3 linked regions of the Yarrowia lipolytica genome follow. The protein of the gene in region 2 interacts with the protein of the main gene of each other region in a biochemical or structural test. Links are inferred from orthologs where the notes say so. Each region holds a gene or a part of one and is shown on either strand. Other genes may lie near its edges.

Region 1 (10,122 bases), on a different chromosome or scaffold from region 2:
ATATAAAAATATAAAATATAAAATATAAAATATAAAAAAAATAAAATATAAAATATAAAATATAAATATATTAAAATATGAAAATGAAAATGAAAATGAAAATGAAAATGAAAATGAAAATGAAAATGAAAATGAAAATGAAAATGAAAATAAAAAATGAAAATGAAATGAAAAATGAAATTGAAAATGAAAATGAAAATGAAAAAAAAAAAAAAAAAAAAAAAAAAAAAAAATATGAAAATGAAAATATAAAATATATAAAATATAAAATATGAAAATAATGGGGAAATGGGGGGAAATGGGGAAAAATAATATAATTATTATCAACATAATTTTTTTTCAACATGTTTTAATTCTCAGCTGATTACAAAGCATCAGAAAATTGAAATTGATTTGTATGCAGAATGCGAATTGGTCTCGATACGCCGTGTTTGACACTCACTTCGGTGCTAGGATCCAATGTACAGAAAATAGCCTGATTGAGCGACCTGGAGGGTTCCACAGAGCCCAAATCCTCGATATGGTGCTGTTCAGGTAGCTCTGTTCCCCCACGAGAGCAACCCCCTTCCTGGCATCAAAGAACCAAAATGCCATCGACCTCTGGGGACGCCGAACAAGGGGTAACACTCGAGTATCGGGCTCCTTCTTGTAGATGAGCATGTCTGTCTACTTTGAGTAGCAGATTTTGGTCCGCCGCGATCATGAAGATACTCTCTGGCATGAAGATACTCCGGGGCGCGACGTCTCGTTGCAGTACTGGGCGTAGTTTCTGTTGGTGTCGAGCAGAATGTCCTTGAGCAGTCCACTGCCTCCAGAGGTCCTGTTTCTGGATCGCCCATACCTTGGGCTAGACAATGGAATGAAGGGACATTGAAAGTGGGCTGAAAGTGGTCCGATAAACGGGAAAAGTTGATTTTGGGAACACTCGACGTCCATTCTTCATGTGTTTTCAAGACGGTTTGGGGGTCCTTCAGGCCGTTTTCAGACCCAAAAACATCACCTACACCCTCGTCATCATTACATGTCATTAAGTATATACACCGGGGTGCTAAATGAAGGTCTGTGTTAGTGGAACATGTGGAGAATGGGGAGAGAAGATGGGGCTACCAAGGAAGGTGCCATCTCAAATATGTCTTTGCACCTACCGCTAGTAAAATGACCGCCAGCACAATGACCAGAATTAGCAACAGACAGCACTGTCGGGACCGCGACCGGCTCTGATATCGTGCGGCTCGGTTGAGTTCGCTGGCGGCGCTTCGGGTCTCGCCAGCAATCGAATACATGTTCGATTCGATGTTGTCTGTGTTAGTATTCAGTCTCGCTCGGTGTCTGCAATGAGAAAGTCTAGAGGTACGGGTAGGAGCATAGTAAGCAAATCATGTGCATCGCGAAACACCAATTCACCGATTCACCGATTCACAGAACATTGCATCAATATAACCACCTCCAAGGTCAGAAGACACCCTGGTCTACGCCCTGTTTAAACAAAACCTCTGCTCAACATCCCCCCCTCCCCCCGTCATACTCACCAACAATGGTTCCCTGTTGGGTCACAATGGTACCGAGATCGGAGAAAATCTCGTTGAGCTCCTCGATACCCTGCTCAATGTTTCTGATCTCCTCCTCTCGTTCCGAAATCAACGTCATGTGCTGATCTGTTTCCGACTGATTCATAAAGTCCTGGGTCATGACATCCTGCTGCTGCAGTTGCTGCTGCTGCTGCTGACCCTCGCCCCTCGACTCCGACTCCAGCACCGCCTGCTTGTCCATCTTGATCTCCTGCTTCTCGTGCGCGGCCAGCCGTTTCTGGATCTGCTGAAACTCGGACAATGCCGTGGCAAACTCCCGGCCCAGCTTCTGTTGCGTGAACCGCTGGGCGGCGTTTGTGTCGTCCCATTCCTTGAGCCGCTTGAGATCCTCGCCCGTCGTCTTGAACCGGTCCCGCGTCTCGTCGGCAAGATCGATCGCCCGCCCCACCACGTCCCGCTTGCCCCCCGTGTTCTGCGCAGCCTTGAGCAGCCGCCCCAGCGTCACCAGGTTGTTGTTCAGCAGGAACAGCGTGTCGGAGATATCGGCGTTAAGCTTGTCGAACTCGGGCGAGTCCGAGTACGCCGGCTGCGCCTCCAGGCTTACGGCGTCGCTGAAAGAACTCATGTGTGTGATTAGTATCGTAGTCGCGGAATGCCGAGATAAGAATAAACACACTGCATGTGAGCAGCTCCCAAATAGGAAGCGAGTGATTACGTATGACGCCACCAAATAGAGTTGCAAGTGGGGTTATTTTGGAGGCAGAAAAGGCGCTTTTAGAGGCCATATTTGAAAGAAATGGGATTGCATTTTGATGTGAGATTTTTCTGTGGATTTTAGGGAGTATTTCGGTACAAAAATAATCTTTCTGCGACGGTTTTTGGGCTCTAGGAATATACGATAAAAAGTATTATTTAATATATAAATAAATATATTATGAATATACATAAATAAAAAATAAATAGAAATAAATAGAAATAAAATAGAAATAAATAGAAATATATAGAATTATAGAAATAGAAATAAATATAAAAATAAAAAAATAAAAAATAATATTTTTTTTAAGAGGGTGATAAAATATCTATATATACATTTTCACTCACGAACATAGCCTAGGAATACAAAAACATGACTATTTAACCTCCTCCGGCGGCAGTTAAGTCGGAGTCTGAAGATGGCCAAACCAGTTCAAAGTCTGACTGTAGTTTTGACGATGTCTGCGCCTCTTGTTACACACTATGTAGCTCACGGTACCACTGTTACTCACCCACAGCCTCGTATTCCCTGTACACAAATGTTTACACAATATCATTTATTGGTTATTCCTTCTCATGCTATACATCCTTATCGTTTCCTGGTCCTCTCTCTAGAAAACGAAATCCTTCTTGAACTGGTCCACCTTGGACTTGTCTGCTGGAGTCAACGGCTTGGGCACCTCGCCCTTGAGGGGAGTGCTAAAGTCAAAGTCTCGTCCGTACTTTTTGGCAGCCTCGGATAGGGGAGTAGAAGGAATACCTGCCTTGGCCAGTTTGGGAGTGGAAGGCAGAACTGGCTTATCTTTGGAAATCTCAGGGTACAGAGGCTTGGAGGGAGAGCGAATGGCAGCAGAAGATGCCAGATCCTTGCCGATCTTCACATCTGTATCTTCGTCCCCGGAAGGAGAAGACGATTTCAGCTTGGAGGTGAAACCGTTGTTGGTCTTGTTACCAAACGTGAAAGAAGGGGGCATGGATTCAGGCGATCCCGACGAAGAAACTGCAGTTTGCTTCGGCGCCGAGGTCTTGGTGCTTTCGGGAGACTTGGGGTCGGCCACAAAGGAGTCTCGCAGATTACTGGATCGCACAGGCTTATACTTGTCAAACTTCTTCATCTGCGGCTGGGCCTTGACGCTATCTCGCTCCCGCTGCTGTTCCAGAGGCATGGACTGACTGATGATCTGGGAGGGGGTTTTTGACGGCGACGCCTCCTTCTTTTCGGGGGAAGGAGTCATGAGTTTCTCACGCGACGGGGGGGTCAACTGACTGGCAGATCGTTCTCGCTCGGGTCGTCGAGGAGAAGACGCGTAGGGGTTGATGAACTCCTTTGCGGGAGAGGATTCGGCTGGTGTGACAACCTCTTCTTCGTCATCATCAATCAGAGACAGAAGAGTAGAAGCCACTCCAGAAAGAGGTCTATCTGCGACAGAAGAGACCGGTGAGGTGATGGGCGATGTGGAGTTTGTGGTTGTGACTCGGTTAGGCGACAGGGCCTGTCGTGCAGATCGCTTAGGAGAGGACATCATGGGAGATGGACGGCCTCTAACTCCACCGAGGGACGATCTAGTGACACGGGAGTTTCTCTGGCCAATAGAGGCCATTGATCTCGACTTTTTGAGAGTCCCATTAACACTCGCAGCGGGCTCCATTCGTCTGGGAATCTTGGAGGGCGATCCGTACGTCTCGTTGCGGCCTGCCAGATTGGCCAAACTCATGCTATGACGAACCGATCGGTCGTGCTGGGTTCCTGTAGGCGACAGTCGTTCGGCGAGATTGGGATCGTCGCTGGCCGCCTCGTTGATGAGTGCCAGTACACCTGCGGTTTCCACATCACTCAAAGGAGCGTCTCCTTTTCTCTCGAAGAACTCTGCCAGGCGTTGGTTGGGCGATTTTCCGGGGCCCAGCGAAATGCGTTTGTGTCGGGGCGGTGTCTGCGATGGCGTGTACACCGTTTCTGTGATCTCCTCCTCCATCTGGGGCTCTTCAAAGGTCCGCGACCGGTCAATCACGGGGTACAGCGCTGAGACGGGCGGGTCCCGGGCCAAATTTGCAGGCGAGTGGCTCTGTGTTGGTTGATTGGGGTCGTCGGGTTTGTGCGGGCGGAAAAACCCAACCACCCGGGAAAAGAGACCGCTTCTGTGTCCCTCAGCGGGGGGGCTGGCCGCCGACGGGCCGGGGCTGGGGGGCGGTCCGTAGGGAGACCCCTCGGAGGCTGCGGAGCGAGCTTTTGGTGCGGACGACGCGGGAGTTTTCCATGATGCTGCGCCAACGGTGTGTTTGTCGACGTTGGTGTCGTCACAGGCGTACAAGTAGTTAGTTAGTGTATCATGTGGATTTTTTTGGCACCATGCATGTTGGGAGGTTGGAGGTTAGGGATTTGGCTTTATTGGGGGGGCTGAGAGAGCATTTTGAGCAGCACTAAAGAGGGGTTGGAGGGGCTTTTTGTGGGATATAAACACATAAATCTGATCGTCGAAGCTTCCTGTCTAGATTTGTGTCTTTGGTTTCCCATTCTGATGTCCGATACGTCTCCACGAGGCGTCGTGTTGACGGCCTACAGTTCAACCGCTGGTACAAGCGAGCTCATGTCTGAAAACGCTATTGGCATGAGGTTGAGCGGGTGATCTGAGATGAAAGGAAGTCGACAACCGGCTCCACGAGTATGGTAATGTGAAGTACTCCTCCGCAATCATCAACTCCTCCGCAAACATCAACTCCTCCGCGACAGTCCGGCTACTCCTCCGCGACAGTCCGGCTGCTCCTCCTTGACGCTCAGTAGCCATTCAAACATACCATTCTAAACTAGACATCATCACACCCCGGAATACTCCATCAGTGCCGTAGTCACACAAAACCATCCTCGTGACCTCATATAATCGGACTTTGTACAAATCCAACATTCGCCATACAAAATGATCCCCACAGCTCTTCCTCCACCTCCATACAGTTGTCCATCCCCAGTCAGACTCTGAAATACCCCCACAAGTGTAATTCTCGTCATACCCGTATATTGAACACTTCTTACTTTCCTCCCCTCCCCTTGCCCTCCCACTATATGAAGCAATACCAAGTCCACAAGAACTACAATCACTCCGGCGGCAATGTTGCACCTCGCTCATATCCACTCTTCGAATCCCCGCAACGTCGTTATATCGCCTTCAATTGCTTCCCCCAACCCCGTCGTCTAGGGTTACGTCCCAAATTACCCTACCGGATAACCTCGTGAGTTCGAATCTCTCTTGTCATTTTTTTACCCGAGCAATAACCCGACCCATGAGTTCCCCCGACGAGATTGTCGACTATCTCGTGGAAAACGTGGCCCTGTTTGGTCCCGGAGGTGAGTGTCCCGGCTGAGTGACGCAAACGGCAAAATGGACAAAAAAACCCCGTCTCGACAGTCCACCAGCCAAATGGTCGATATGCAGCATCGCAGAGGGAAAAATATTTTTTTGCGAACGCCGCAATTTACGTGAAGAGGCAAGAATGGACGTGTTCGTGCGTGTGTCTGGTCGGTGTGAGCTGTTCAGTCTCTTCGGAGACAGGATCAGGGTGTTTTTGGTCCACTTGAGACTAGCTGATAGCTCTAGGGAGGGGTGAAAAACGCCCAAGCTGTGAAGAAACCCTTCCCGAACGTTCTAGATGGCGATGGAGTTTGATTGAGGGTGTTTTTTCTCTACAGCGGTCACTTTTGGTCGAATTGTGACTGTACTCAACAGCACTGATAGGACTGCCCAAGTCTTCTCGTTCGTTGCTATGCCGTTCGCACCTGCGCCATCCCTGCTCTCCAATGTTCCATGACTCTTCTACCCTTCTCTCACAGCTCGTACACTCGACTCGTGTTCTGCTAACCTAGGTGTAACCCTCCCCCAATTGTGGACACTCTCCTACGACAAGGTTCCAAATCTCACGCCCAAACTCCAGCAAGTGATTTGGAAATGGCTCATGAACCATCCCAGTATGGTCGTTGGAGTCAACGGAGAAGACGAGACCGAGACCGTCAACAAACTTGATTACAAAACTCTGCTCGAGACATACCCCCAGGACTCGGTTCAGGTGTACGCTGACGAAGACACCCAGTGGCGTACTTTGACGGGCAGACCCAAGAAGAACAACCCCATTGGAGCATTCCCCTTTGAAGCACTGTGTGTTGTTGCCGCTGCTCGAGAAGATGGAGCTACCGCTGTGCAGATCACCAAACAAACTGGCCAGGATGCGCGATCCATCTTTGGGCGGGTCAACGCACTCATGGAGCAGGGTCTGGTGTCTCGTTTCCCCTACTATGCCGGTCACAACACGAACCTGATTGTGTACCGATCGTTTGTGGCTGCCAACAGAAGAAAGCTGGGTATCACTACCGGCAATGCTGCTTCGTCTGGAGCTGCAGGAGTGGATATTGCTGATTTCCGAAAACGGCTGGTTGAAGCTACTTTCAACGCTCATAACAGAATCAGACAGTACCTGGACCTAAGAGACGAAATGGGCTGTGGCAAGACCCGACGTCTCAAGTCGTACTTTGCTCGTGCTGTGCGTCAGCTGGAGGCTAATGGCTACCTCAAGCGAGTCTATGTGTACCCCGACCCTAGCAAGGATGAAAAGTACTACTGTCTCAAATTCCTCAAGCCTTATGTCAACACCACAGATATGGCTGGTGTCGATGAGGATGACGACGAAGAGGAGGAAGAGGAAGAGGAAGTCGAGCCTGAAGAGGAGGAGAAGATTATGGGCTCTTTGGATGTTATGGACGACAGTGCGGGAATCAAGATGGAAGACGTTGGAGAGCCCTTGCTGCCCGAAGAAAACTCTCATATCATTTCGTTCAACCGCTTCTACCCCCTCATCAACCAGATTTTCAACCTCACTCAGATTCGAGGCTCCCATGGTATCCCTGCCATGGAGCTGTGCCGTTTGACTGCTGGTATCTCGTACACCCGTATGTTTTCGCGGTACTTGGAAGGCTTTGCCGAGCGAACCACCAAGAACAAGACGGTCAAGAACAAGTCCGACCCCGAACTGCAATACTTGAACCTCATTCGGGGTCTGGATGTGAATGCCAGAACCAAGTACTATCGGTACGTGACCGAAATGGACTATCGGGCCTTTGTCGGAGAGGCTGCCGATCCCGCCTGGGGTAAGTTTCGACCCCTTCCTACCTCTGGGGCCAAAGCTGCTGCCAAAATTTACTCTTCTCTGAGCGACATGCAACATAAACTTGGCTCTGAGATCCCTGGAGTCGTCCTGACAGCTACTGTGACTCTCCCCGATGGTTCAGAGCATCAGTTTGTCACCTTCAGAGGCTACAATGTGACTCCTGCTGCTGGCGTCAAGATTTCTGTCCAGCAGGGCAGTGGAGAAGGTAGACCCAGAGGCAGACCCAGAAAGCGACCTGTGGACGATGACACTGCAGCTCCCGGAGACAAACCTCCGCCCAAGAAGCGTGGCCGAAAGTCCAAGGCTGAGCATGAGCGGATCAGACTGGAGAAAGAGGCTGCTGAAGCTGCTGCTGCTGCTGCTGCTCTGGAGGCGGCCAGTCGAACCGTAAATGAAGCCGAGGCAACAACCGGGGAAACCACTGAACAGGCTGATTCAGCTACTGTTTCTTCCGTGGCCGAGGCAGCTGTGGCAGCGGTGTTGGCCGAAACTGACCCCGTGGAAATCGCAGTCAGACAAGAAGCCGAGGCCGAACAGGCTGCTGCGGAGACGACAGAGCCCGAACCTGCTCCGGGGCGCCTTACTTCTCGAGGAGTTGTTTCTTTCGCAGCCATGGAGCGAAAGTCTCGTATTTTGAAACTTCTTTCTGCCAACAACGGTGTTCTGGAAGGCGGTAAACAGCTGGAGATTATGTTTGACGCATCGTATTCGCGATCCCGAAACGGAAAAGTGGACTCCAAGACTCTCAACAGAGACATTAACCAGCTGGAGGACGACGGCAAGGTGTATCGTATTTCCGTCAACGTGGGCAAAAGCAGAGACTCGGCCATCGTTCGTTGGATGGTTGTACACTCTTCGCTGCCTAGAGACGCTCCCCAGGTGCAGGATCTCAAGGCTCAATTGATCCATCGAACCAAGGTCGCTAGTGTGCCTGCCACTCACAATCCCATCCGAGAATCGCTGTCAGGGGCCTTCAAGTTGTACCACAACCCTGTTGCGAACCCACGACGATCGTTAGGCAACGAAGACAAGTCCCCTCATCGAGTTCAGGAGCCTGGTAGTGACGGAAGATGGATTAGTGATACTCGCAAAGTTGTGCCTCGGAAGAGAAGATCTCTGCGGCCCTCCAATATCGACCCTCAGTACGATTACACCGACCAGGAGCCGCATCAGGGTGCCGGCTCTTCTTCCACTTATCCTCATCAACAGTACCAACCCCAATACTCCATGGACTATGCTCAGGAGTACTCCACTCAGCATCCGGCTTACAACAGCTTGAACAACCAGTTTACTGGTCTGGATGACAGCATGATTGAACCTGAGATGATTGCCCAGGCTACTCTCCAGAGCCAGCAGCCCAAGAGAAAGAGCCGCAAGGGCGACAGATTGCCCAGCTCGGATCCCCTCAAGATTCTCGAGCACGGAATCAAGCGGAAATCCAAGCTCAAGATTGGCGCCACTCCCTCCGTGTCTCGTTCTCGGATGTCTGGAGCCCGGCGATACGATGTGGAGGACAATGAAAAGTTTTTCCGGCTCACCATTGTCGCCCGATCGTTCCACGGAGGCTCTATTCCCTGGCAGGCTCTCGCCGGGCCTCTCAGACTACCTTCTTATGCTGCTAAGGCCAAGTGGCCTCGAGTCAGAGACATTATGGGCGGTGCAAAGGTGGTTCCGGCTGCAATTGAGCAGTTTGAAGACTTTTTCTATGAGCAATACCGCAAGGGAACCATTGCTCCATTTTCGCGGCTAGAAGAGGTGAATCTCGAGGAGCTGGCGGATCTCTGGCAACAGCATGAACCCGAGTTGTTGCCCGATACCACCGCCACGTCGTTCCCGCTACTCGAGTCGTACGAAGACAACAGAAAACGGTACCACATGTCTGTTCCTCTGGATTTCGATGACACGGATCCCATCGACTCGGTCCTGTCTGTCCAGTCCATGGTAAAGACCGAGGAGGCACTCACAAACTCGCCTTTCCTGGTCAAGAAGACCCCTGTGTACGTGGACCCCAACCCTGAGGCTGTTCAGAACGCCATTGCTGTCATCAAGTCGATTATCGTCTCTGATGATGCCACCTACGATGAACAAGCTGCCAAGGAGCTGCTGACTCCATTCGGAGAACAAACGGTTGCCGAGGCAGTCAACCAGCTCGATAAGCAAAAAGTGGTCAACTACATTCCTCGAGATATGGAGAAACGCAACCCTGGACGAAACTTTGCGTTTTCTGACAAGTTCTGGAACGCTGTCAGTGTGCGGTTTGCTGCCGGTCTGGAAGTGTTCAACGAGGCTCTCAACTTTGACAAGTCCATGAGAGAGTGTGTCAACTCGTCCCGTGGTCTTGTCATGTCTCGTTTGGCTCCTGACGGATCGATGATGGCCATTCTGGACCTGGTTTACCATAGAATCATTGATACGGTCAGAGTTAACGATACGATCGGCTCTCTGATCAAGGGCTATGTGTCTCGGTCAGTCGATAAAGACAAGCTCGACTGTGACATTATTTTCCGGGGCTTTGAGTCCTTGTCTCTCAATGACGCGGCTCAGAGTGTAGAGGTGGCTCCTCCTACCGAGGGGCTGCGGATCTGGAAGGGTATGCATGGAGAGGTAAATGAGCCCATTTGGAAGCATCTGACGTCGCTGTTTGCGCTGTCCGTGGCTCTTCGGCCTGGTGTCACTGTTGATCTGCTTGCTG
Region 2 (11,128 bases):
GTGCCGAGAAAGGGAATCCTGAGATGCAAACAGGGAATGTATTACAGTCTAGGAAAGACAGGATACAATTTGAGTGTGCGTGATCTGGTCGATTCCAAAGACCATAAAGTTGAGATAGAACATGTGCTGGAGTCAATTTTTCCTTACACTTATGACAAGACTCAATCGAAACGTATTCCTAAACGTCTAGTTCCATTTGTCCAAATTGCTTCTACTATCGTGAAAAAGTGTCAGCAATACAATTTTTTGCGGCTTTTGGATGCCTGGTTCCCACTTAATCGCGACTACGAGGATGGGCACTCCGTTAACGATGTGGTCTCCTTCTGTTTTGCAGCTTCTCATCTCCTCTTTCCTCACGTTTTATTTGGATCGGCAGACAATTGGGCCGTTCTACGTTCAAAGTACGTCTATTATCTGAACTTGCCATCTCGAACTTCTCCGCATCTGGATACAATGACTGGGGGATTCAGGTTGACCGAAATCAACTGGCTCTTCACTTCTGATATGAATCTGAAAAAGTCACGAGACGATATGCTCAAGGCACGTGAGCTGTTTGAACAGCTGATGATCTGGGTTACAAACCGCTTCCTGCCTCAGATTCTAAGATCTTTCTTCTATTTCACAGACTCTCTCACCAGTGACCAGATCATCTACCGACACCCTGTATGGCAAAGAAAGACCAGAAGCACTCTCCAAGAACTGAAGAGGACCCAGTTTTCAAGTAAAGTCCTTACTCCGTCGGATCTCGGAATCTCAAAGTTCAGATTGATGCCAAAAAAGTCAGGCTTCAGACCCATTGTGTCTTTGGGAAGACCTGTTCAGAGTCCCAGGGGAAAGAAACCGATCTCTGTCAACAAGAAGCTCTCAAAGCTGTACAAGATACTGTATCAGGAGTTCAGACTCGGTGGAAATAACAAGTGTGGTCTTGACTCGGTTCACCTGCTCAAAAAAGTGCTAGGGAAGTACGAAAAGGCAATCAAGGGCCAAATTCAAGGTCTCAAGTTTGTCAAGATTGATGTCACTGCGGCCTTTGACACTATTCCAGCATCCAAAGTGAAAGACATTTCAAAACGACTGCTTGATTGTGAAAGTTACTCGCTTCATAGCCACTCTCGAATCTTGCCTATGAGTTCAAAAACAGTTCTGAGATGGTTCACCACGTCTCGGGCCTGTAACGGGAGATCTGAGGGAGCTCTACAAGCCTTCAGACGTCTGGGGAATAAGGGGATCATAGTGGATGAAAACAAAAGTGACAGTGTTGGAAAACAACTGCTGTACAAACTGCTCAACGATCACTTGTTCAGAAATGATGTTTTTATTGACGGTCAGGTACATAGACAAGTGCGTGGAATCCCGCAAGGCTCTATATTATCCTCTTTGTTTTGTTCCATGGTCTATGAGGAAATGGTGCGTGAAAAGTTCAGCGATCTCGTTGATAGACCAGATACCTGTCTTATGCGATTCGTGGACGACTTTATGCTAATCACTACCGACACTGCTATAGCTACCGAGTTTTTAAACAGAGCTCTCAAGGGCTTACCTGACTATGGAGTCTCTGTCAACCGATCCAAGTGTCTAGTCAACTTTCCTCTGTCTGTGGGTGGTGTCAGAATCGCGCAGCTTGAAGAGGGCGAAATGATGCCGTTTTTGGGCATGAAGATCGATCCTTGCAATCTTCAGATACATCGAGACTATCCCTATAGCTCTGCATTATTATGGGTCGATAAAGGAGTCAAGCTGGCAGCTGTCAGACACAGAGCAAAGGAATACTTTTCGGCTCGGTTCCCCAGGCTGCTGTTGAACAAGAGTGTTCCTGAAGCTGTGGTTCTCAAAAATGTGTCGGCATTCTTTCGGTACGTGTTTTTGCGAGCTATTCGAACTTTTGAACACTTTGGCCACGTCTCTGAGAGCAGGATCACTCAGGAAGCCATTACTTTGGCTGCTGAAATGATCGATATTTCCATGTGTGTGGTTACTCCAAAGTGTCCCCATGTTGGGTTGAAGAAGTTGCGTGGGTGGCTAACCAAGATTTCGGTTCTGTCCATTGAGAGGAGGAGATGATGAGTATGTGTGCATTTGTCTAATTTATTTAATTTCCCCCCTTGGTTTTCACTTTTTGGTGAATTTTTTCGTTCGCCATGCGCTATTGTACAAGTACAGTAAATCTCAAATTGCCATATATCACCGGAATAGGCTACATAATGAAATGCGGCGTACAAGTAGAAGAAGAGATGCTCGCGAAACCCGCGTTTTTACCTAAAAAAAGAAATCCAACGACAACTATCGCAACATGTCCCTTGTGACACACTCCCACGTATATATATACCCTCCAGCACTCTCCACAGGTGTACTACTCTCACCCGTCTCCTGCATCATAAGCTTTGAACATGCGAGATCGATGCACTTGTTGTATCCAACGCCACCGGCCTTTGACATAACTCTTTCTGACTGCATCAGCAAAAGAGAGGAATCCGGCGACACATCCAGTCACGCACCCACAGCCAGGCATATCATGGGATGGACGAAGATCGCCAGAACCGTTCCAAAAAACTCAAGTATTTGTTCGATCCCCGCCAGGATGTGTTGAGATTCGGCCAGCCCAAGAAACAGGTCTTTTGTCCGCTGTGTCCGCTGGACATTACGGGACTTAGCATTTCCGAGCGCAACGCCCATGCTGAGAAATGTCTGGGCGTTGAGTGTCTCGATGATGATGGCGTCACATGTGCTACACCCACCAAAGGCGACCTGACGTTTGATACAAGCACAATTACACCCGCAACAGTCAAGATGGAGGAGATGCAGGCAGTGGGAACGCCAATTTTTCTCGCAGACGAATTTCTTCATCTGTTGAAGGGAGGAGTGAAGAGCAAAGTCAAGGAGGAGATCAAAGACGAGGTGTACTTTAGTGCTGATGAAACCATGGATACGACTGTGGTGGAGACACAGTCACTGACACGGGCCGTGGAAACACCAACTAAGAAACCGAGACGAGCACCGCAACGAAAAGCCAAGGCCAAAGAACCCACTTCAACCCAGTCCATGATGGTGTGTAACAGTCAGGGAGAAATGACTTCTGCTGTTGTAGAGCCTGTCAAGAAACAGAAGCGAGCCAAAAAGCCGGCACCGTCGTTCAAGATTATCAAGATGGGAGAAACGAACGTGGCGGTGGACTCGTTTATGCATGGACCTCTCGAAGGGATCAATCTTTATTTCCTGTCACATTTTCATGCGGATCATTATGGAGGACTACGAAAGAGCTGGAATCACGGCCCTATCTTTTGCACACCCATTACTGCAGCTCTTTGTAAGATGAAACTGGGAGTCCAAGATGAGTGGCTGGTTCCGATCCCCATCCATATTCCGTTCTGTGTCGGTAACGACGTGGAGGTCATCTTCTTTGACGCCAACCACTGCCCCGGAGCAGCTGTCATGCTGTTCACCAGTCCGACAAAGACAGCTGTTCATTGTGGAGACTTTCGGGCCAACATGAACCTGGTGCGTGAAATCAAACTGAAACTCAAGCAGCGAGAGCTCGACGAGGTGTACCTCGACACCACGTATCTAGGACCCAGCCATGCCTTCCCCAGTCAAAACCGAGTGGTTCAGGTGTGCGCAGACTTTTGTGTGCGACTAAACAACTTGAAAATGGAGCAACTGGAGAAAGCTCAACGGCAGTCGACAATCGGAAGATTCTTCACGAGCTCACCCAACTCTCCAGTACATCAACTTCGCACATTGTTTGTGGTTGGAACATATACCATTGGAAAAGAGAGGCTGGCAATTGAGATTGCCCTTCGTCTGGGTTCCAAGCTCTTTGCCGACACAACCAAACGCCGCATTCTCAAAACATTCAACGACCCCGTCATCTCTGAATTACTAACATCCGACCCTCTAGAAGCCCAGGTTCACCTCGTACCTCTTGGCCAGACCCGCAAGGACCAGCTGTTTGAGCATCTCAAGAGCTTCAAGCCGCATTTCTCCAAAATTGTCGCATTTGCTCCCACAGGATGGAGTTACCGACCACCCAAAAGTGCTATTCAAGCCAACGAGCAAGCCACAGACCTGCGACCAAGTTACTATGACTTTGGAGACCTCGAGTACAATGTGGAGAATCTAGATCGGAATCTGGAACGGTCTGCCATCGAGCCTGTTCAAAAGTACAACGTCCCGTACTCTGAGCATTCGTCTTTTGTCGAGCTACGAGCCTTCTGCTTGAACATGGCTGCCACCACCATCATTCCCACCGTGAACATGTCTGCTGACGAGAGTGTCCGCAGGCAGATGTACTGGCTGGAGATGTGGACCGGACAAGCGAGGGAAGGAGTCTGACGACTGTACATAACTATTTATTACAAGCGCTAACCATCTGACTAAGCCGCCTTGATGGTTACTATGCATGTAGCCCGAAGTGTGTGTCTGGTCTGTATTGTGTTTCATAGGCAGCATGTAAACATATATGGTGCAAGCATCCTACAGACTGTCGGTTAGACGGGCTGTTGCAACTTCAGTACTCGTATGACGCTCGCTAGTCGGTCAAAAATCAATTGACCATGAACCCTTTAGCGGCTGAGATAACCTCACCGGAATAATGACCTTGTCAAATAAACCGCCATCCAAGGTTCATAAGATGCCGGCATTATACATAATTACAACTTGCTGCAGGTTTGTTTTGACGCGTTACCCAGCAACTGATCACGATACAGTATACGTGCGAGAACTTGGGATTTCGACCCGCAGTGTTTGCAAGTGGTAGGAGCCCACACTGTATCTGTGTATTAATTTCCCCTTATTACAGCATGTTGCTCGGCAACAGTGGGGGCGGGGATAGCGAGAGCCCACACTGCTCCTAGTTGTGGTCATCGTCGTCATCAAAGACTGTAGGGCAGTTGTAACGACTATTCTTTAAGGTCGGTGGAGTTACTGTAGAAAGATAGGGATCATTTACTTGCAGTAGTTACCGGAACGATATCTGGATGGTGGTCCTTTACTTATGGCTGGTGTACGTGTACCGCATGCACAGACTTGTATGTGCTCTGGCGTATGGGCAAGTCGGCATCAGTATTTCTCAGTCCGGGGTTGGGGGATGCTAATTTGCCACCTGGAGCTGGCGACATTGCGGCGTGGGACGCGACTGAGTAAATGAGTCCCGTTTACATAGCTTTTTGTTACGCCATCCCGACCTCAGTAAGATTGCTGGGAGGAGGAGCTGGGGGCGTTGCTGGGACAACCGGGGGTGTGGGTGTGCTCAAATTTACAGCACTCTATTTGAAAATTGGCTTTTGGGTCTGTTTACGTCCCATCATTTTACCACTCCCTGTTTTAAACAGATTATATTCGATTCAGCCGTTTGCGAACGACCTTCAATTGGCCGAGGAATTCTTTTTGTGTGGACACTAGAGACCGACTTTCGACTTTCGGATATCGACAAATCACAGACTACGACGTGAGTACGACGGACGCCATGTGGTGAGGTGTTCAGATGGCCAAGGTGGCCGTTTGCGACCCGTCACGTCTCTGAGGGACGGGGCGAATAAGGGCATGTTGCGGGTGGCATATGTGGGAATTTCTGACTTGAACAATGTCGTTTTCCCGCTCAAATTGCCGGCTCTGGAGGTTGTAGCGGGACGCAACTTGTGTGGGGTATCTTGGAATTGATTTCTCCCTGGCTGGCCAAGGAGACAACTGCTGGGTTAACGGGATCGCGCTGGATAGTTGTTTTCGTGGCAGCCATCAGTTTGATTTATGACGATCTTGTCTCATTAATCGATTGATGACGTGTGTGGTTTGGTCTAGAATACCGCAAACCAGACGTGGGGTGCACGAGACAGACATCAGCGGCAGAATCGAAAACACGAGCGCACTAAATTTGCACCCGCAACGTTGCCATTGAAACGACACACACACAACCTATCTAGACCCCTACTAACCCAGATGGAAATCGCACCCATTCTTCACGACGCCTTCCAGGGCGCCACGCCTCAGGTGCGAAACGAGGCCAACTCCAAGCTGGCCGACGCATACCAAAACTACTACGGTGATGTGATGATGGCCCTCGCCAACTGCATCAGCACTCAGGATACCCAGATACCCGATGAAATCCGAGTGCTTGCTGGTATTGCCATCAAGAACAACTTGACATCCAAGGACCAGGAGGTCAAGCAGGAGCAGGCCAACAAGTGGTTGGCTGCCGATGGATCCGTTACAGATCAGATCAAGAGCATTCTGTTGGAGGTTCTGAAGAGCACTAACAACCAGGTGGCTTCAGCAGCAGCCCAGGCCGTGGCCGCCATTGCGGAGATTGATCTGCCCCAGGGACGATGGTCCAGTCTCATGACCACCCTGGTGGAGAACACCAAGGACGAGCAGCCCAGTCACATCAAGATGGCCGCTCTGCAGTCTATTGGTTTCATCTGCGAGCGAGCAGACCGAAACAATGCTGGTGTGGTTTCCCAGGCATCAGGCATTCTTACTGCCATTGTGCAGGCGGCACAGTCCAAGGAGTCGGACCAGAACGTGCGGCTCAAGGCCATTGAGGCACTGGGCGACTCTCTGGATTTCATCAGAGACAACTTTGCCCGGGACGGTGAGCGAAACTGCATCATGGTTGTCGTGTGCGAAGCCACCCAGAGCGATTCTGCCAAGCTGCGGGAAGTCAGCTACGGCACAATGTCTCGAATCATGACCAAATACTACCAGTTCATGGAACTGTACATGAAGCAGGCTCTGTTTGGCGTTACCGTCAAGGGCATGCAGGATTCCGACGACTCGGTGGCATGCATGGCTGTGGAGTTCTGGTCGTCCGTATGCGAGATTGAGGACAAGAACCAGCGGACCGGCGAGGAGTGCTTTGGCTTCGCCAAGGTGGCTGCCCCCAAGGTTCTGCCCATTCTCTTGGAGCTGCTCAACCGGCAGAACGAGTACGATGACGACGAGGACTGGAGTGTTAGCATGGCTGCTGCCGCCTGTCTGCAGCTGTTCGCGCAGACCATTGGTAACGACGTGGTGCCTCTGACTCTGCAGTTTGTCGAGCAGAACATTGGAAATACCACCAGCTGGAGAAACCGGGAGGCCGCTGTCATGGCCTTTGGTTCTATTCTGGACGGTCCTGACAACGCCCATCTGGCCGATCTCATCAAGCAGGCTCTAGAGCCCATTCTCAACCTGATGAATGACGACTCTCTGCAGGTCAAGGACACCGTGGCGTGGTGTCTGGGCCGAATCTCCGATCTGGTCATCAACGCCATTGACGAGCAAGTCCATCTGCCCGTCATCATGAATACCCTGCTCAAGGGACTGCAGGACGAGCCCAAGGTCATCACCAACTGTTGCTGGACTATCATGAACATTTTCGAGCAGCTTGGCCACGGCGGCGTCAACCAGGAGACCACCGTCGTCTCCCCCTACTACCCCCAGGTGCTGCCTGCTCTGTTGAACGCCGCTTCTCGAAACGACAACGAGAACAACGCCCGAACCGCTGCTTACGAGGCTCTGTCGACCCTTGTTGTTGTGTGTGCCAACGATTGCATTGAAGCCGTGCTTGAGCTGTCGGGCGAGGTTGTCACTCGTCTGGAGACCACTCTGGAGATGCAGCAGCAGATTGTCGGCATGGACGACCGAATCAACCTGGAGGAGCTGCAGATCAACCTGCTCGGTCTGCTGACCAACATCATCCGTCGAACTGACAAGCTGGTGCTGCCCGCATCCGACCGGCTTATGACTCTGTTCCTGAACCTGCTGCAGAACAAGCTTCCCAACTCGCTCATCGAGGAGGACGTGTTCATTGCTATTGGAGCTGTCGCCGATGCCAACGGTGAGGGCTTTATGAAGTTCATGGAGTCTCTCAACCCCTTCCTTCTGCGCGCTCTGGAAGATCCTTCTCTCATTGTGTGCAACACTGCAGTCGGTCTGGTGGCCGACGTGTCCAACGCTCTGGGCCCTGCCATTGACCAGTTCTCCGACCAGTACATGCAGCTGTTTGTCACCGATTTGCAAAACCCCAAGGCCCAACAGGTCATCAAGCCCTCGATTCTGTCGTGCTTTGGAGACATCGCGTCAAGCATTGGCCCCAAGTTTGAGCGGTACTTTTCTTTTGTCTTCCCTGTGATTGAGCAGGCGTGCCAGCTGGATGTGCCTGACCAGTACTCCGGCTATGCCGTGTCCGAGGAGTTCCTTGACTTTGTCGCCAACCTGCGTGAGCGAATCATCGACGCATTTGTCGGCATTGTCACCGGTCTTCGAGACTACCCTGCTCTGTTTGCTCCCTACGTCCCCACTCTGTTCAACTTCCTGTCCAAGGTGGCCGTGGACCCTCTGCTCGCTCCTGTGGAGTCTGTGGCTCGGTCCGTTGTGGGTATCATTGGTGATGTTGCCACCATGTATCCCGGTGGAGACTTCAAGGAGGCATACACTAAGCCATGGGTGCTGGAGTTCATTCGACGAACTCGAAGCGATCCCGAGTTCACTGACGAGACCAAGATTACCGCTCGATGGGCACGTGAGCAGCAGAAGCGACAGCTGGGCGAGAAATAGGCTGTCTGAGATGAGGGAACAAGTTTTTGCACAAAAAATAGCATGATACCGGAAAAATAGAAAACAAGCGTTTGAGTATGACTACTTTGTAGTTATAGGTTGGTGAGTATATCGCCAATATACAGTGTAGCAGGTGGCCATGATTTAGATCTACCCACCCCCCTGATTGTTTGCCTGTCTGCATCTGTAGCACGTGAAGATCTTGCTCGATAACCATGTGAAAAAAAAAAAAAAGGTACAACCATATGTATTGTAGCTGTGTGTATGTAGAATGGGGCAACTTTGTGGGGTTGTATATATATTTTAGGTTCCATCGACAGAACGAATACGGCTGGATAAGTGTGTGATATATGTTTGTAGTTGCAACTTGTCCAAGAATCGACTTGCCAGGCCGGGTTGTGCTGTCATCAGTGTTTCATCTACTGTAGTCGACAGCGGTACTAAAAGCGGGTTAGACTCAACTAATTCAGTTAGCTTTAGTCACTACGTTTACCCCACACCAAGGCCCAAAGGCCTAAAGGCCAAAAGAGAGCCATGTGGGTTTGGCAAATCTAGTTTGAGGACACCCATGCGCCGCCAAACTCTCCAACCAATAGAGAAGGGAGTAATGTCAGAATGGGTTTATATACAGGGCAAGCTTATGAGACGGAGGCTTCAACACGGCATAGACGAGGCATGTTCGTGGAGCGGACTCCTGCGCCAATGTGCCAGTTCTCGACACCGCTCTGTGCTGTGCGGAGGCGAGAGTCGTGCTTATAAGTGTTTTGATTTGCTCTGATACTAGTTGTGCTCGTTCCTGGGCACCATGTGGTGGATCGATCCATGTGTGGGTCTTTTAGCCCTTGAAAGGATGTGAGATTATGTATAATACTGGAGGAGGTGGAGGAGCCGCAGTGATGGGCGGATGTTGGGCTGCTATGCAGGGGGCTTGATTACATAATACGCGATCTAGACGGATATACAATGAGGCCAGTACTGTCCAATGTTCAGCATCTCAGCAACACGTACATTTTCACTTCCCCCCACCTCTGCTTACTCTTCTCCACAATCATATGGGCCTGTGGAATTAGAGTGTGGTTTGATCCGCGCATGGCCGCATCATGTTGGGTGGTGTGCCCTAACCGCACACTGCCGTTTCGGGTAAACAGCCTCTTTTTAAATACTATATACCAAGCTTGCCTTCCCAAGTTCAGAGTGATTCTTACACAGCTTGACATTACTTTCAATCATCAAAAGTGCGTATTGGAAACGACTGGGGCGCACCCACCCGGGCTGAAGGGCAGACGACGGCCACTGAACCGAAGCTTCCGACCCAAACAACGTCTCTATGAATGAATCGTCGTCTTTCACGTGATGAATCAACACGACATGGAGGTTGTCCGTTGAGTGGAAGAAGAGAGATTGGGATAGCTCAGAGAGACACAAGTAAGCACGCACTGTTCGAAAGCTGTGCAATCGACTGTTTGGTTGTGTCTTCTGGTGTTTCTGCAATCCATACATGCCACCACCCGCGACTCCCCCAGCCCCCCTACATTCCCACCCTGCAATACTAACACAGTGTCTGACACCGCCGCCATTCCTACTGATACTGCCGAGAAGAAGATCTTCACCCTCAAGCAGGTCGCCGAGCACAAGGACCGAAATGATCTGTGGATGATCATCAACGGCAAGGTCTACGACATCTCCAGCTTCGTTGACGAGCATCCGTGAGTACCACAATAGGAAAGTCGCCCAGCAACACAAACCACAACAGCTACTAACTACAGCGGTGGAGAGGAGGTTCTTCTTGATGCCGGTGGAACTGAGGCCACCAACGCTTTCGACGTGAGTATTTCTAGATTTCGGATGATGGGCCAAACAGGAGATGGAACCCCAACACCACAGAAGCAAGGAAAAAAAAGCAATAACACGGACTCAAACAGCAGCAGCTGATGAAATCGACAATGTCAGGGCAACAATTGCAACTGCTATTGTCTTTCGGAGGTGTTGTCGTTGTGTTTCACGTTGTGCTTTCTGTGCTGGCCAATGACAGCACAACATTAGTCAGACACGAGGAATACGACAAGGTTTCGACCCACCTACAGTTGCCCAACGGATTAGTGATCTAATCGCGAGTCCCAACTATGAGTTGGCACTGGGCGCGGAAGAAACTACCCGATTGTTACCCAATACACCTAGGCACTCTCAAAGGACCGCTTGGCTTGCATTTTCGATTGCTGCCGATTCCAGGGTGTTACCCCACTTTTTGAACTTTCACGTGCACTCGAGATGCCACCGTTTTGGAATTGAAGTTTCAAAGTCTAAAGTGTTGAGGAATCGTTCCACAGGAGCAGTCAGGTGGTTGTGCAGAGTTGCTTTTGCATGTCTACCTCTTTGAAGGGTCTGGAAATGGTCTCGGGGATCGCCTAATCAGTCGCCTATTTAGACTTCCAACGTGTTTCCCATCCGATCTGTCGCGTGACACGGTGACACGAATAACACGACAGTTGAATTGTATACTAACCCTAGGACGTTGGACACTCTGAGGACGCTTACGGCATCCTTAACGACCTCTATGTCGGTGAGGTTGACCCCAGCGAGGACGTTATCCGAAAGACTC
Region 3 (11,877 bases), on a different chromosome or scaffold from region 2:
GAATGGACGGCTTCTTGGCATGCTTGGGCTGTTTGAGAATACCCTTGAGAGGCGAACCATTGGGTGACGTCACAGGAGAGCCAGATGCAATGTCGATGGCAGCAGTTGAATTAGCGTCACCAGCCTTGGTAGGTGTAGAAGGAGTTTCTTGCAGAGGAGTATGATCGGAAGCCATTTCGGAAGCAGCAGCTGTAGCACTCACAGAAGCGGCCACACCTGCGGCAACGCTTTCTGTGATTGCAGAAGTCTCTGGCAAGGTGTCCTTCTTTGACTTGGTCTTCTTTGACTCGGCTTCGTCCCTGGCAGGCTCGTTTGCCTCAATCTTTTTCTCCTGGACAGGTTTCTTGACCTCTTTGACAGGCTCTTTCTTTGTCTTTGGTGCAGATGAGGGGAAGGCCCCAGGGGTAGGGAATGCACCTGGAGTGATTGTGGGGGATTGGGAAGACTCTTCATCAAGATCAATGACCTCCTCCTCGGGCTTTGGTGTAGAACCAGCTGCGGGCTTTGTATCGGCGGCTCTCTTTTTGAACCGATCCTTGTATCTCACTTCTCCGTCGTCGTCGTCCAGATCAACCACCACAGGAGGGCTTGCGGGAGGGGGAGTGAAGTTCACAGGAGGAGGAGGAGTGAAAGCCACTGGCGAGGGGATTGGCGCGCCAACTGAAGCAGCAGCAGCGTCCGTCTTGTTGCTGATATCCTTGGTGAGCTCCTTACCAAACTCGATTTTGTTGTCCCCCATAGAGATCTCTTCGTCCTCGTCGTCCTCGTCTTCACTGGGCTTGAATTCCGACTGAGTGTTGTGAGGAGAGTAGATTTTGATCTGGGGAATTCCGGATACGGCCTTCTGGGCTGTCTGGGTCGTAGTGGCCACCTCGGGCTCCTTCTTTCGCACCACCTTGGCCTTAGACAGCACGGGCTGGCTGACGGTCTCGATGACAGCGTCGTAGTCGTCATTGTCGTCGGAATCGATTACCACAGCCTCTGTGTCGTGAAACTCGTCTTCGGAGTCAGACGAATCGATAACCACGGCCTCCACTTTTCGAGTAGCTGGCTGTTTAGTTGCCTCTGTTTTTACAGCTTTTGAACTGGTTTTGACAGAGACTGGCGAACCAGCGGATCCCGGTCGAGAAGAAGAAACGATTCGAGGAGACTGGGGCACTTTGGGAGACTGGGCCACCTGTGGAGAAGAAGGAACGGACGTTCTAGGTGATCTGGGGGTCTTCGGAGAAGACGGAACGCTTGTGGTGGGCGAATTGGATGTGCTAGAGGTCATTTTAACAGAGGTGTTGATCTGCCCGGCTCGTGGGCGGTTGCGGGCTCTCGGAGGAGCATGAGGAGTGGCTCCAGCGGCTCCGCTACTCTCTCCGGACACAGATCGTGAGGTGGTACCGGACGCGGTAGCTCCGTTGGCTGATCCGTTCGAAGCTGCGGCTCCTGCTGTGGTGGCTCCTCCGGCCGGGCGACGTACCTCTCCGGCTCTCAACTTCTTTTTGGCCATGTCGTTTGTGTGCCTAATGTGTGTGTTCACCACTCTTGACGGGTTGCAAAAGGAATGCACTGTTCACGCGTACGTGTGCAGCTAGGGTTAGGGAATGGGGCGGACGTCTTGGACATGTGCAGACTTATACGAAGAGGGTGACATTGGAGACAAGTCAGAGAAGCGACGAGAATGTTTGTTTTTGCAACTACAAGATGAGTATGGTCTTCGATAGCTGTCAAAATACCACCCTTGCTTGGCTTGTCAAAAACCACCCCAATAACTACACTTAGCACGTTCTAACAATCTCGCTAATCTCCGGCACGCAACGTGTGAAGCTCGTTTGGGTTTTAGGCTTCCAAAGCGGAAACTCCAACTTTTAGACATTAGGAAACGTTTTTGGAGCACGTCTACAAGTGGCTCAATTGTGCCGTGATAAAGATCTTTTATTGGTCCATTTTTTCTACCATAAACAATACTGGGTTCTCATCTCCATCATCAACATAATGACACGTGTAACAGGCACGCGAGCGGGTTCATTTGGCAGTACATTTCAGGGGCACCTGAACCTAAACATTTTTTTCCCGGAAAGCGGAAAAAGGGTTGTTTGGACAAACGGTGTCGTAATATGAGCGTTTATATTACTGGATTCGGTACGCTGGGGCACGGCTGATTCGGTTTGAGATGCATTATTCAAAGTCAGAACATCCGCAATCATCAGTATTACGTCAGGCGCGCTGCAGATCACTCTTCGGCTGCACCAGACGTGACAGAATTAATGATGCACGATTTTTTAGGCATGAAAATGATAGCCAGGCACGATAGCCAGGCACACGAAAAAGCAGCACCTTCTTCATGTCCATTGTTATGCATGAGGAGAAGCGCACATCAATGTATAAGTACTGTACGGCTATTATGACACTGTACTCGTACTTGTACCTGTTGCAATTTTACGCCCAGGTATTGTATACAACGACTCAGGTATCAACGCATAAGCCTCAATTGAATCTTGCCAGACGCATCCAACTAATTGTACCAGTATAAATTCTATATATTGTAACTACTCACCTGCAGCTTGTACAACTACAAGCACCAGTACATCTACTGTAGCACAGTGTACGATACTTTACTTCTACAGTAACGACATTAATGCGTTTTAACATACATACATAGTTTACATTGATCTACTTCTTCGCTATCTTGAAGTACACCTTTTAAGGGTGGTCAGTCTCAAACACGTAGGTACCAGTCTCCAGATCGTAGGAGATGAATCGGGTGTTCTTCTGCTGCTCGAGACGAGCAATCCATCGTCTTGCATAGGGATGCTTGGGGTCGGTGATGGGTTTCTTTGTGTCCTTGGCGATGGGTCGGCAGTTGTAAAGAGTTATCTTGCAAGGTACCATGAGACCCTCGCCCATAGGAGGCCGCTCCTGGTCGTCGTTGTACACGATACAAGTTTGCTTGGTGAAGGTGATGACGTTGTTAGGGATCTCGTCCAGATCAACCGCAGTCAGATCCACGGGCTCGAGGAATTGGATCTTACCGAAGCCCTTTCGGCCCACCACAAAGTTGGGCACGGCCTTGAGCTGTTCGGTGGTCATGGTCTTGAGAGCCATGAGTCGGGGAGAGAACCAGTAGCCCTGATCATCGACAATCTCCTCGTCCGAAGTTTGGGTGGCAGTGGGAGAAGCAGTGGCGGAGGACTCCACAGACACAGCCTTGTGAATAGGAGAGGCCGTAGACTTGGGGAAGAATGAAGGAGTTCCTGACTGAGAAACGGGAGCCATTTCAAGCGAGTCAGGGTCGTTCAAACCATTTAACACGGAGTTGTCTCCAGCCGCAGAGAAAGACACTGACTTCTTTCGCTGCTGGCTGTTCGGAGTACTGAGAGATGATTTGAGAGGAGCCTTGGAAGGAGTATCATGGACGTTTTGGTGCTGGTGAGGATCCTCCAGCTCAGGGTCCTCGCCCTGAGTCAGACGTCGCAGCTCAGCCTCGTCGCCAGAACGGTCAATGACCAGCTTTCGGATCTCTCGTCGAGGCACAAAGGCGTCCGACCCCAGCAAGAACTCATCTGTCTTGGGAGAGAACAGAGAGTGGCGAGGCTTGCTGGCCGTGGACATAGATGTGTTGCCCACGCTAGACACAGAAGTGTTGCCAGCAGAGGCGACCTCGGGTAGAGAGATTCGCTCAAACCGGTCCTCCGGGTAGTTTCGCTGGTGCGCAACATGCTCGGAAGCAATGGCAGACGTCTTCTTTCGAGGCTGGAACAGTGGTCGAGACGACGAAAGGTAAGATGCAGAAGATACGCCGTTGTTGCCGCTCTTGGCTCCGCTCTTGGAGGTTAGAGAGGTGGTCAGAGGATCCTTGGCAGTGCCGTTGGAACCAGAAGAGGTCAGAGCAGGAGGAGTCTGACCAGAGAACAAGGGGTTGTTCGAGTAGGGGTTCTGGTCAATGGACGCCGTGAGCGAAGGAGTCTGGTTGTTTCTGGCACCCATGTTGTTCATGTTATTGTTATTCATGGCATTGTTGTTGCCGAACAGACCGCCACCAGTAGAGGTGTTAGCGTTATTGTTGGCGTTATTGTTACCGAACAATCCACCGCCAGTGTTGCTGGTGTTAGCGTTGTTGTTGCCAAACAGACCTCCTCCGGTGTTGGAGGTGTTGGTGGTGTTGTTGCTGCCAAACAGACCTCCTCCAGTAGTCGCAGGCTTGGCACCAAACAGACCTCCACCGGTGGTAGCAGAGGTGTTGGAGGCGGCGTTGTTGTTTCCAAACAGCCCTCCGCCAGTGGTGTTGGTAGTGGTGGTTGAGCTGTTGTTTCCGAAAAGACCGCCGGTTGCAGGCTTGTTCTGGCCGAAGAGGCCTCCTCCGGTGGCTCCAGTGTTGGAAGAGGCATTGTTGTTGTTCTGGCCAAACGAGAAGCCTCCTCCAGTAGTACCGGTCGAGGCAGGAGTGGTGGTGTTCTGGCCAAACAGCCCTCCAGTAGCAGGTTTGTTCTGGCCAAACAAACCGCCACCGGTGGTCCCAGTGTTGGCAGTGTTGTTGTTCTGGCCAAACCCTCCGAAACCTCCACCAGTGTTTGTGTTAGTGTTGTTATTATTGCCGAACAATCCACCGCCTGTATTGGTGTTAGTGTTGTTGTTAGTGTTGCCAAACAGTCCTCCGCCGGTTGTAGTGCCTGTGTTGGTTGCTCCGAAACCGGTAGTTGCGGGCTTCTGTCCAAACAGGCCTCCTCCAGAAGTGTTGTTGTTCGCACCAAATGCGTTATTCGTAGTGTTGGTGTTGTTTGTCTGACCGAACAGACCTCCCCCGCTGTTGTTGGTGTTATTGTTCTGACCAAACAGCCCTCCACCTGAGGTATTGTTGTTAGCCTGGCCAAACATTCCGCCGCCGGTGTTGGTGTTGGTGTTGGTGTTGGTGTTGCCAAAGAGACCACCCCCAGTGTTGTTGGTCTGGCCGAAACTGGTGGTAGCAGGCTTATTCTGACCGAAACCGAAGCCAGTAGAGGTGGAAGTCTGGCCAAATCCCCCCGAGGTGTTGTTGGTGGTGTTATTGTTACCGAACAGACCTCCGCCAGAGTTGTTGGTGGTGTTGTTCTGGCCAAATCCTCCGCCGAAACCGCCAGTGGTGTTGGTGTTAGCGTTGTTCTGTCCGAATCCACCTCCGAAGCCACTGGTGGTGTTGGAGGTGTTGTTGGTGCTTCCGAACATGCCTCCACCAGTGTTGCCACTGCCGAAAGACGAGGTACCACCAAAGGGCGAGGGCTTGGCAGCCCCAAATGCACCGGTGTTGCTAGTGGCGTTGTTGTTCTGACCGAATCCGCCGAATCCACCAGTGTTGCTGGTGGTGTTGGAGCCAAAGCCTCCAGAAGTGGACGAGGTACCAAATCCACCACCAGTGTTGGTGTTGGAGCTTCCAAACAGGCCCCCAGTAGCGGGTTTGTTCTGGCCGAACCCGCCACCAAAAGTATTGCCACCCGAAGTGGAAGAGTTTCCAAACGGCGAGTTGTTGGTGTTGGAAGAAGATCCAAAGGGAGAAGCGGTGTTGGCAGCCCCAAAGGTGTTGGTGGCCGTGGCGCCAGCAGTGCCGTACTGCTTACCCTGTTGGTAATCAGCCAGCCGCAGCTCCTCCTGAGACCAAGTGCGATACTGAGGCATCATGGTGATGGTCTCGTAGATGTTGGTCATCATCTTTCCGTTGGCAGTATCCTTGTCGGTAAACGGCTGAAAGGGAGTAAGAGTGGTACCGGGGCATTGACCAGGAGAAGGGGTCGAAGACGAGCCGAAGGGGGATGAAGAAGCTGCCCCAAACGCATTGGTGGAGGTGTTGGTGTTCGAGGCTCCAAATCCACCGCCACCAAAAGTGCTGGTGGCTGGCTTAGCCCCAAACATTCCGCCTCCAGAAGATGCATTGTTGGTGTTGCCGAAAAGACCGCCGCCAGACGAGTTGTTGTTGTTACCGAACGACGAGCCGCCGCCAAATGTCGTGTTGCTGCTTCCGAACATGGCTTTCAAGACGGGAGCAATGAGATCTTGGTGTGATGTTGAGTCTGTGTCAGCCTTTTTTTTCCTGCCTATAAATCATTAAATTGTATGAGTTGGGAGGTGGTTCGCAGGTAGGGTAACTCAACTTTGGGCATGTGTGAGGAGCAACTTGAGCAGTCAGTATCAACTTTGAAAGTGTTTCAAGCAACAAAATTAAATTTTACTGAAATAGTGGAGAAACGAGCTCACGAGTCTGTTTGTCCGATGTTTCTTTTCTGAGGGGCTCATATATCATGTCCCATGTTTTGTAGGGTTTCGCCACTTACAAATATTGTCAATAGTTGACCTTTTCTCAGATGTATGTATACGATTAAATGTATTGTGTTGTATGTATTGTTGCATGCATAAACTGATCTTGCTGGAATGTGTAACAACAGGACGTGTCAGGTTGTGTGTGTACATATTGTACTCTGCGAACGCAGTGTTTATCTTACCTGCATTCTTTGATGAGTATTACTCGTTGTTATTGGTTTTCTTTATGCAACTACTATTTATGCAACGCGTCGTTATAGAGCTCCTATGGTTGTTCTGAGGACATCTTAATTATTTTGTTCTACGGAAATACATTTTCAGGGTTTTTCATTTTTGATTTCTGGGATGTTTTTTTATTTTTTATTTTTTATTTTTAATCTTTGGATGTATTACACACTTTTTGTTTATCCTAATGATCCATTTTTCTTTTCTCGTTTTTTCTTTTTTATATTTTTTTTAACTAATGATTCATTACAGCTCAATTTTTTTTTATTCTGATGATTCATTACTCAATTTTTTTATTCTAATCAGCTGACTAATCAAATGTACGGTATTCTACGTCCAATTTTCTTTTTTCAATATCGTTAAACATGCCTGGCTAGCTCAATCGGTAGAGCGTGAGACTCTTATTCTTAGGTGTCATCTCAAGGCTGTGGGTTCAAGCCCCACGTCGGGCTTTTTTAGTCTCCATTCTTCATTTGATTACTAATAATAATCATAAGACTGCGTATGATAAGGCAATAATATCGCTTCAAACGCAACAAAGGCTCATTTTTCTAATATTGGGTCATGAATTACTGTCTAAATATGCAACTGTCGCTCCTTGACTGTCTTCTTGGAAGGATCATACTCAACCCAGCTGGCGATCTTTCTGTTCAGGAAGGGGCCAGGGTTGACCACCATACACTCCTCGTACCTGAGAGAGAACTTCGGAGCATGTGTGTCAACCATAAACAGGATCGTAGGCAGTGGACTGAGCCATAGAGTTTCGTCGTAGTCCCAGGCAACAGGTCTGTCGTGTCTGTTGAAGGGAGACAAGTGACCCTGATCACAAATGGTTCGCACAATCTTGCGAGACTCCACCTCCTTGGCTGAAAGAGTGTTGGTAGGACCCACTTGGCTGGCCATAGGAGTGCTGATATCCACTGGTCGAGTGAGGTTGCTGAGCCCCTCTCCAAAGTCGAAGGACGATTCGGGCTCGTTGACTACAACGTCGTTGATCATTACTTCATCGTTGTCAATCTCAATGTCATCATCCGAATCGTCCGAATCGTCCTTGGCAGAATCAAGTTGAAGGTTGCACTTTCGCAGACGCTCACTGAGTCCATCTCGGTAGAAGACCATATCCTGTGTAAGATAAGCCATTCTACAGGGGTTGGAGCTCATTGAAACATCCTCTCCACATAGTCTGGCGACTCTGTTAATCATGGTGGTTGGAAGAGGTTGCAGAGGAACAACTGCATTCTGTGTCGGGAAAGTGTTAGTCCAAGGATCCCGTTGGCCAGGAACAAAAATAATCTTGACACCAGTGATAATGCTGCTGAACTCCTTGAAAAGCTCCTCCAACTTGTCGAACCCCTTTTTGTACAAATGCGGTGGCTGGTACTGACTAGTGAAGTCTCCTGAGAACACCATGGCTAGAGGCTTCTTGGTTCCAGAGTCCTGAAACTCAAGCTCAATGGTCGAAAACACTTTCTGTAGAGCCTTGAGAGTCAAAGGATTGTCCAAATACATATCTCCACCAAACACAATCACTTTCTGATCTACCAAGCGTTTCTCTTCGGCAAGCATTGATGCTTCCACCTGCCGTTCAATTCGTCTCACCACAGAACCATGGGGGTTTCCATGCAGTCCCAGATAGTCCATGTTTCCGTATGCTGTGATGGTCTCCTGTCGTTTCTCGGCCACAGGAGGGCCCATGGTGATGACCACAAACACTTCGGCGTCTCCTGACTTCATGTATCGACCGTTACAGATGACAAAGGAGCCTTCAGGATAGTATACTCCTGGATCAGGCTTGCAACCAGCTGCTAGGATCAGCAGAATACGACCAGTGTCGTCCTGCAAACAAATCTTCTGCTCCGGATTCTTGGAAAGCATTCCGAAGATGGAAAACTCGCCCTGTCGACCAATAAGAGATCGGATCGATGTGATTTTCAGGTCTGTGGTGTCGTCATTGCGCAATAGACGGTTGTAGACCAGATGGTAACGAGTCAGAAACATGTTAGAGGCAGATTGGGCATTGGCGAACAATGTGGGTTTTGTTTTCCGCTTCTCAAACCGTTGCTGGCGGGCATTATAATGGAAAAGAGGCTGATCAAAAGCACTAATCACCTTGAAGAACTCCTTCCACACAACGTCCACAGAAGGAGCTGCTTCTCTGATGACGTTCACCTGTGGCTCTCCTTCCCGATCCTCGATTTCCTCCACTCCAGTCAATCCCACGCTCTTGGAAACCACCTGGACTCGTGCCTTTTCCTTGGCCTTCTTGCTGGCTGTGATCTCATCGAACAGTTCCTGCAGCGGCTTGCCCTCCACAAAAACACCCATCTCCTGCTCCTTCCACAGTCGACAAATCTCCTCCATCATTTTGGCAGCCTCGGCCCCTCGCCATTCGGTTCCGTAGTTTTTGCCTATGATTTCGGTGAGTGTTTCGAGACCTGTTGATTTCAAGTTGAGGCCGTGCTTCTTGGAGAAGATCCGGTACGCCACGGGCCGCATTTGCGATGGATTCAGCTTTATCGGGAGGACTGCTGGCATGGTGGTGTAGCTCGTATGTTGTAGTGTGCTGAGTGTTGTGTAGCTTCGTGCTGCCCTGACGCGTTTTTTCCATTAACGAAATCATGCACGCGTCAAAACCTTGTGTGTGGATGTGTACAAATTTTTAGGAGAGGTATGTATGACCCGTGAACTTAGTATTCCCCCCACATGAGCATCAGTAGCCGTCATAATATGAACGCTTAGGCGATATTTTTTTCTCATATGAAGGTACACCCATGGTAGTTATTGCGGGGACTCGAATAGGGGATAAATTAACACCTTCGACGCCATGTACTTGTACTTGAAATTCTGGTGTTGTCGCTGTGTGTGCAGCGTGTGGGGGTGCACATTGAGAGGGACGGGTGAGTATGAGCTCATCTTCTTGTGTCGGTACAGTACATGTACTTTGTAGAGTACTTGTACACATAGTGTGATAGAGATCACATGTTATCAGCTCAGAATATTGACCGTTCTTACGCTTGCAGGGTGCACACCCCACCGTGGCTTCACAGCATACGAAGTCAGTTTAAGGAGTTTAAGACGACCCACTCAAACAATTAACAGACACGAGATAAGTACAAGTACTGTACTTGGACTTGTATAATGAGAACGAGGTGAGATTCAAAACCCCTTTTATACACAACTCATTCAATATTCGTACCTACAAGTACCCATACAAGTACCTGTACGACAATTGTCATCTTGTACTAACTCACCACCATAATTCATATACACATTCTGTATCGCACACTGCATTTCATATACTTAACAAGGTTCTCAAGGCTAACGGTAAGGAAGCGGAATAATAGGAGGGGTAGGGCTATTACAAGTACGAGAGTTATTTTCGAAATTAAAACCACACAAATCTACAAATTGGACACAGTAATATTGATCCATTGCTTTGTCCGGTCAAATTATGTCTCAAAGTCCCTCCTACAGCCCTCCGCAAACCCCCCATCCGGGTATCGACCGGGTCGACCCTAGCCGACATATCCACGGCATCTCTAGTTCCGAAAGTATCACGCAAGTTTAAATATATATAATCCGGGCAGTAGACCAATATTTCAGTGTGTCGATGCTAGGGAATTGATGGAAAAGAGAAACGGCTGGGAATACGACTGAAACCCACTGAGGACGAGCCCCCGCGGCGCAAATGTCCACATCGCCAACATTGAACCTGGACATCGAAAGTAGATTGTTCGACATCTGTTCACCACTGCACTTCAACAAACGACTTTTTCCATGGAAGAGACAACACCACAGAGGGAGATATTATATGATATCCGCTGTGATACCTATTTGTGATACAGGTGGTTAGTTATTACGACTTCGGCGACGACTATGACGATTCAAGCATCCACTACAGACAGATTTGACAACATCACATTCCGACACTGACAGACGTGCTCCCGGCCCAAGAGGCATGTACTGGAATAAATGGAAGCCCTTACATCAAATGCTTGAGTGTAAAGACCTCGGACATTCATGTTTCATCTGCCTCTGCCACAGCATCATCAACAGTGAGCTCACGGCATGCCGTTCGAATCTATGCTCAACAGGAACATTTCTCGATACAGCCATGGTGGCCACATTATAATCTCTGACATTCGTCCCAGTGGTCTGATACCCCTATTACCGTCCGAATTTTGCCCGAGATTATACCCCCGAGGTCTGACCGACGTTGTGGTGCAAAACTGAGTTAACCCTACTTTATGTGCATATTGGGATTCTTCCACAAACGCCAAGACGTCGGACATGGCCTGATACACCAAACGTTTCCCCTCATATATATAAGGAGGGGAAGTGCGGCGGCTTCTGTATGGTGGGGCCAAATGGTGGCCTACCTTACGATACACAATGACGAAACAAGAAAATTATGGGTCCGATGAATGAGACAGACGATGATAATATTGCACTACCCGGGATATTTACGGCTAGTGGGATGTGAGTGATGACTAACAAGCAGATACAAGTGGCTCGTTTTGCCATATTTTGACCTCACACCACGTCTCGTCTCTCTTTGGGTGAAACATTGACACATTTAGTCGTTGGTTGTTCACAATCAAAAACATCGTGCAGCCACAGGCCGGAGTAATGCCGGTTGATCGATAGCCTGCCAAGCTAACACACACCCCGGAACAGGAAAGTATAGCATGAAATGCGGAGCTCAGCAGAGGGTCCAGTGGGGCTTAAGCACCCAAGCGATATGACGACTATACGGTGGAAAGAGATTATGGTGTGCGATCCAGGGGGAGGAGTTTTCGTGAGAGTGCTTGGTGAGGAGGGTCTGCTATCTTACTCCACCCCTTATACTCAATCCGGCCATACTAAGCGAAGATGGGTAGATGTAGAGACAGACCCAAAATGACATTCGGTGACACACGTCATAAGATCTTTAAATTACCTGTCAAAAGCAGTAATAATAGAGACCTATTATGATACTGTCTAGATGACGACAGGGGTTCAGGCACCCTAAATTTGTGTGTTCATTACTTGGGATTGCTGTTAACGTTGAGAATACTGTGGATCGAAGGCTGTTGAGCTTGCAATATGCACAAGGTTCCCCACCTGACAGCCTAGCAAGGTACTCACTGTGCGCTCAACAAGTATCGAGTGCATCTACCCACATAAGCATGTCGACCTTTACGCGTCTGTACATTGTGTCTGTAGCTGTGCTGTCACAAATGCCTTCATTATGCATCTTCCCGTACAGCCATGCACGAATGCAGCACAAGCTCTCCACAAGTCGGTTAAACTAGCACTCAGATTGAGTTCAGATAAGGAATTTTCGGTTCAACTTGCCAGCACCATTTTAAGGAGCAAGCAAACCGGCCGGCATGG

The links.
Region 1: the proteins of YALI1_D15114g (region 2) and YALI1_C30632g form a complex in vitro, tested with the Saccharomyces cerevisiae proteins (2 studies listed by BioGRID). The link is inferred for Yarrowia lipolytica from reciprocal best matches to the Saccharomyces cerevisiae genes KAP95 and NUP60.
Region 3: the proteins of YALI1_D15114g (region 2) and YALI1_F35938g form a complex in vitro, tested with the Saccharomyces cerevisiae proteins (2 studies listed by BioGRID). The link is inferred for Yarrowia lipolytica from reciprocal best matches to the Saccharomyces cerevisiae genes KAP95 and NUP116.

What each region holds. Positions count from the first base shown.
Region 1 is NC_090772.1:3,057,417-3,067,538, reverse strand, and holds YALI1_C30632g (uncharacterized protein), read right to left. Parts: upstream 4,256-10,122; coding exon 2,894-4,255; downstream 1-2,893. Other genes in the region: YALI1_C30672g (uncharacterized protein), read right to left, coding at 1-330; YALI1_C30665g (uncharacterized protein), read right to left, coding at 531-1,028; YALI1_C30653g (uncharacterized protein), read right to left, coding at 1,104-1,300, 1,530-2,154; YALI1_C30614g (uncharacterized protein), read left to right, coding at 5,556-5,619, 6,136-10,122. UniProt on the Saccharomyces cerevisiae protein: Functions as a component of the nuclear pore complex (NPC).
Region 2 is NC_090773.1:1,506,297-1,517,424, reverse strand, and holds YALI1_D15114g (uncharacterized protein), read left to right. Parts: upstream 1-5,931; coding exon 5,932-8,529; downstream 8,530-11,128. Other genes in the region: YALI1_D15181g (uncharacterized protein), read left to right, coding at 1-2,061; YALI1_D15149g (uncharacterized protein), read left to right, coding at 2,518-4,329; YALI1_D15063g (uncharacterized protein), read left to right, coding at 9,861-9,870, 10,088-10,235, 10,296-10,353, 11,038-11,128. UniProt on the Saccharomyces cerevisiae protein: Importin beta subunit that functions in nuclear protein import through association with the importin alpha subunit, which binds to the classical nuclear localization signal (cNLS) in cargo substrates.
Region 3 is NC_090775.1:3,587,926-3,599,802, reverse strand, and holds YALI1_F35938g (uncharacterized protein), read right to left. Parts: upstream 5,986-11,877; coding exon 2,692-5,985; downstream 1-2,691. Other genes in the region: YALI1_F35983g (uncharacterized protein), read right to left, coding at 1-1,498; YALI1_F35907g (uncharacterized protein), read right to left, coding at 7,078-9,036; YALI1_F35894g (uncharacterized protein), read left to right, coding at 10,190-10,346, 10,391-10,434; YALI1_F35882g (uncharacterized protein), read left to right, coding at 11,486-11,497, 11,553-11,795. UniProt on the Saccharomyces cerevisiae protein: Functions as a component of the nuclear pore complex (NPC).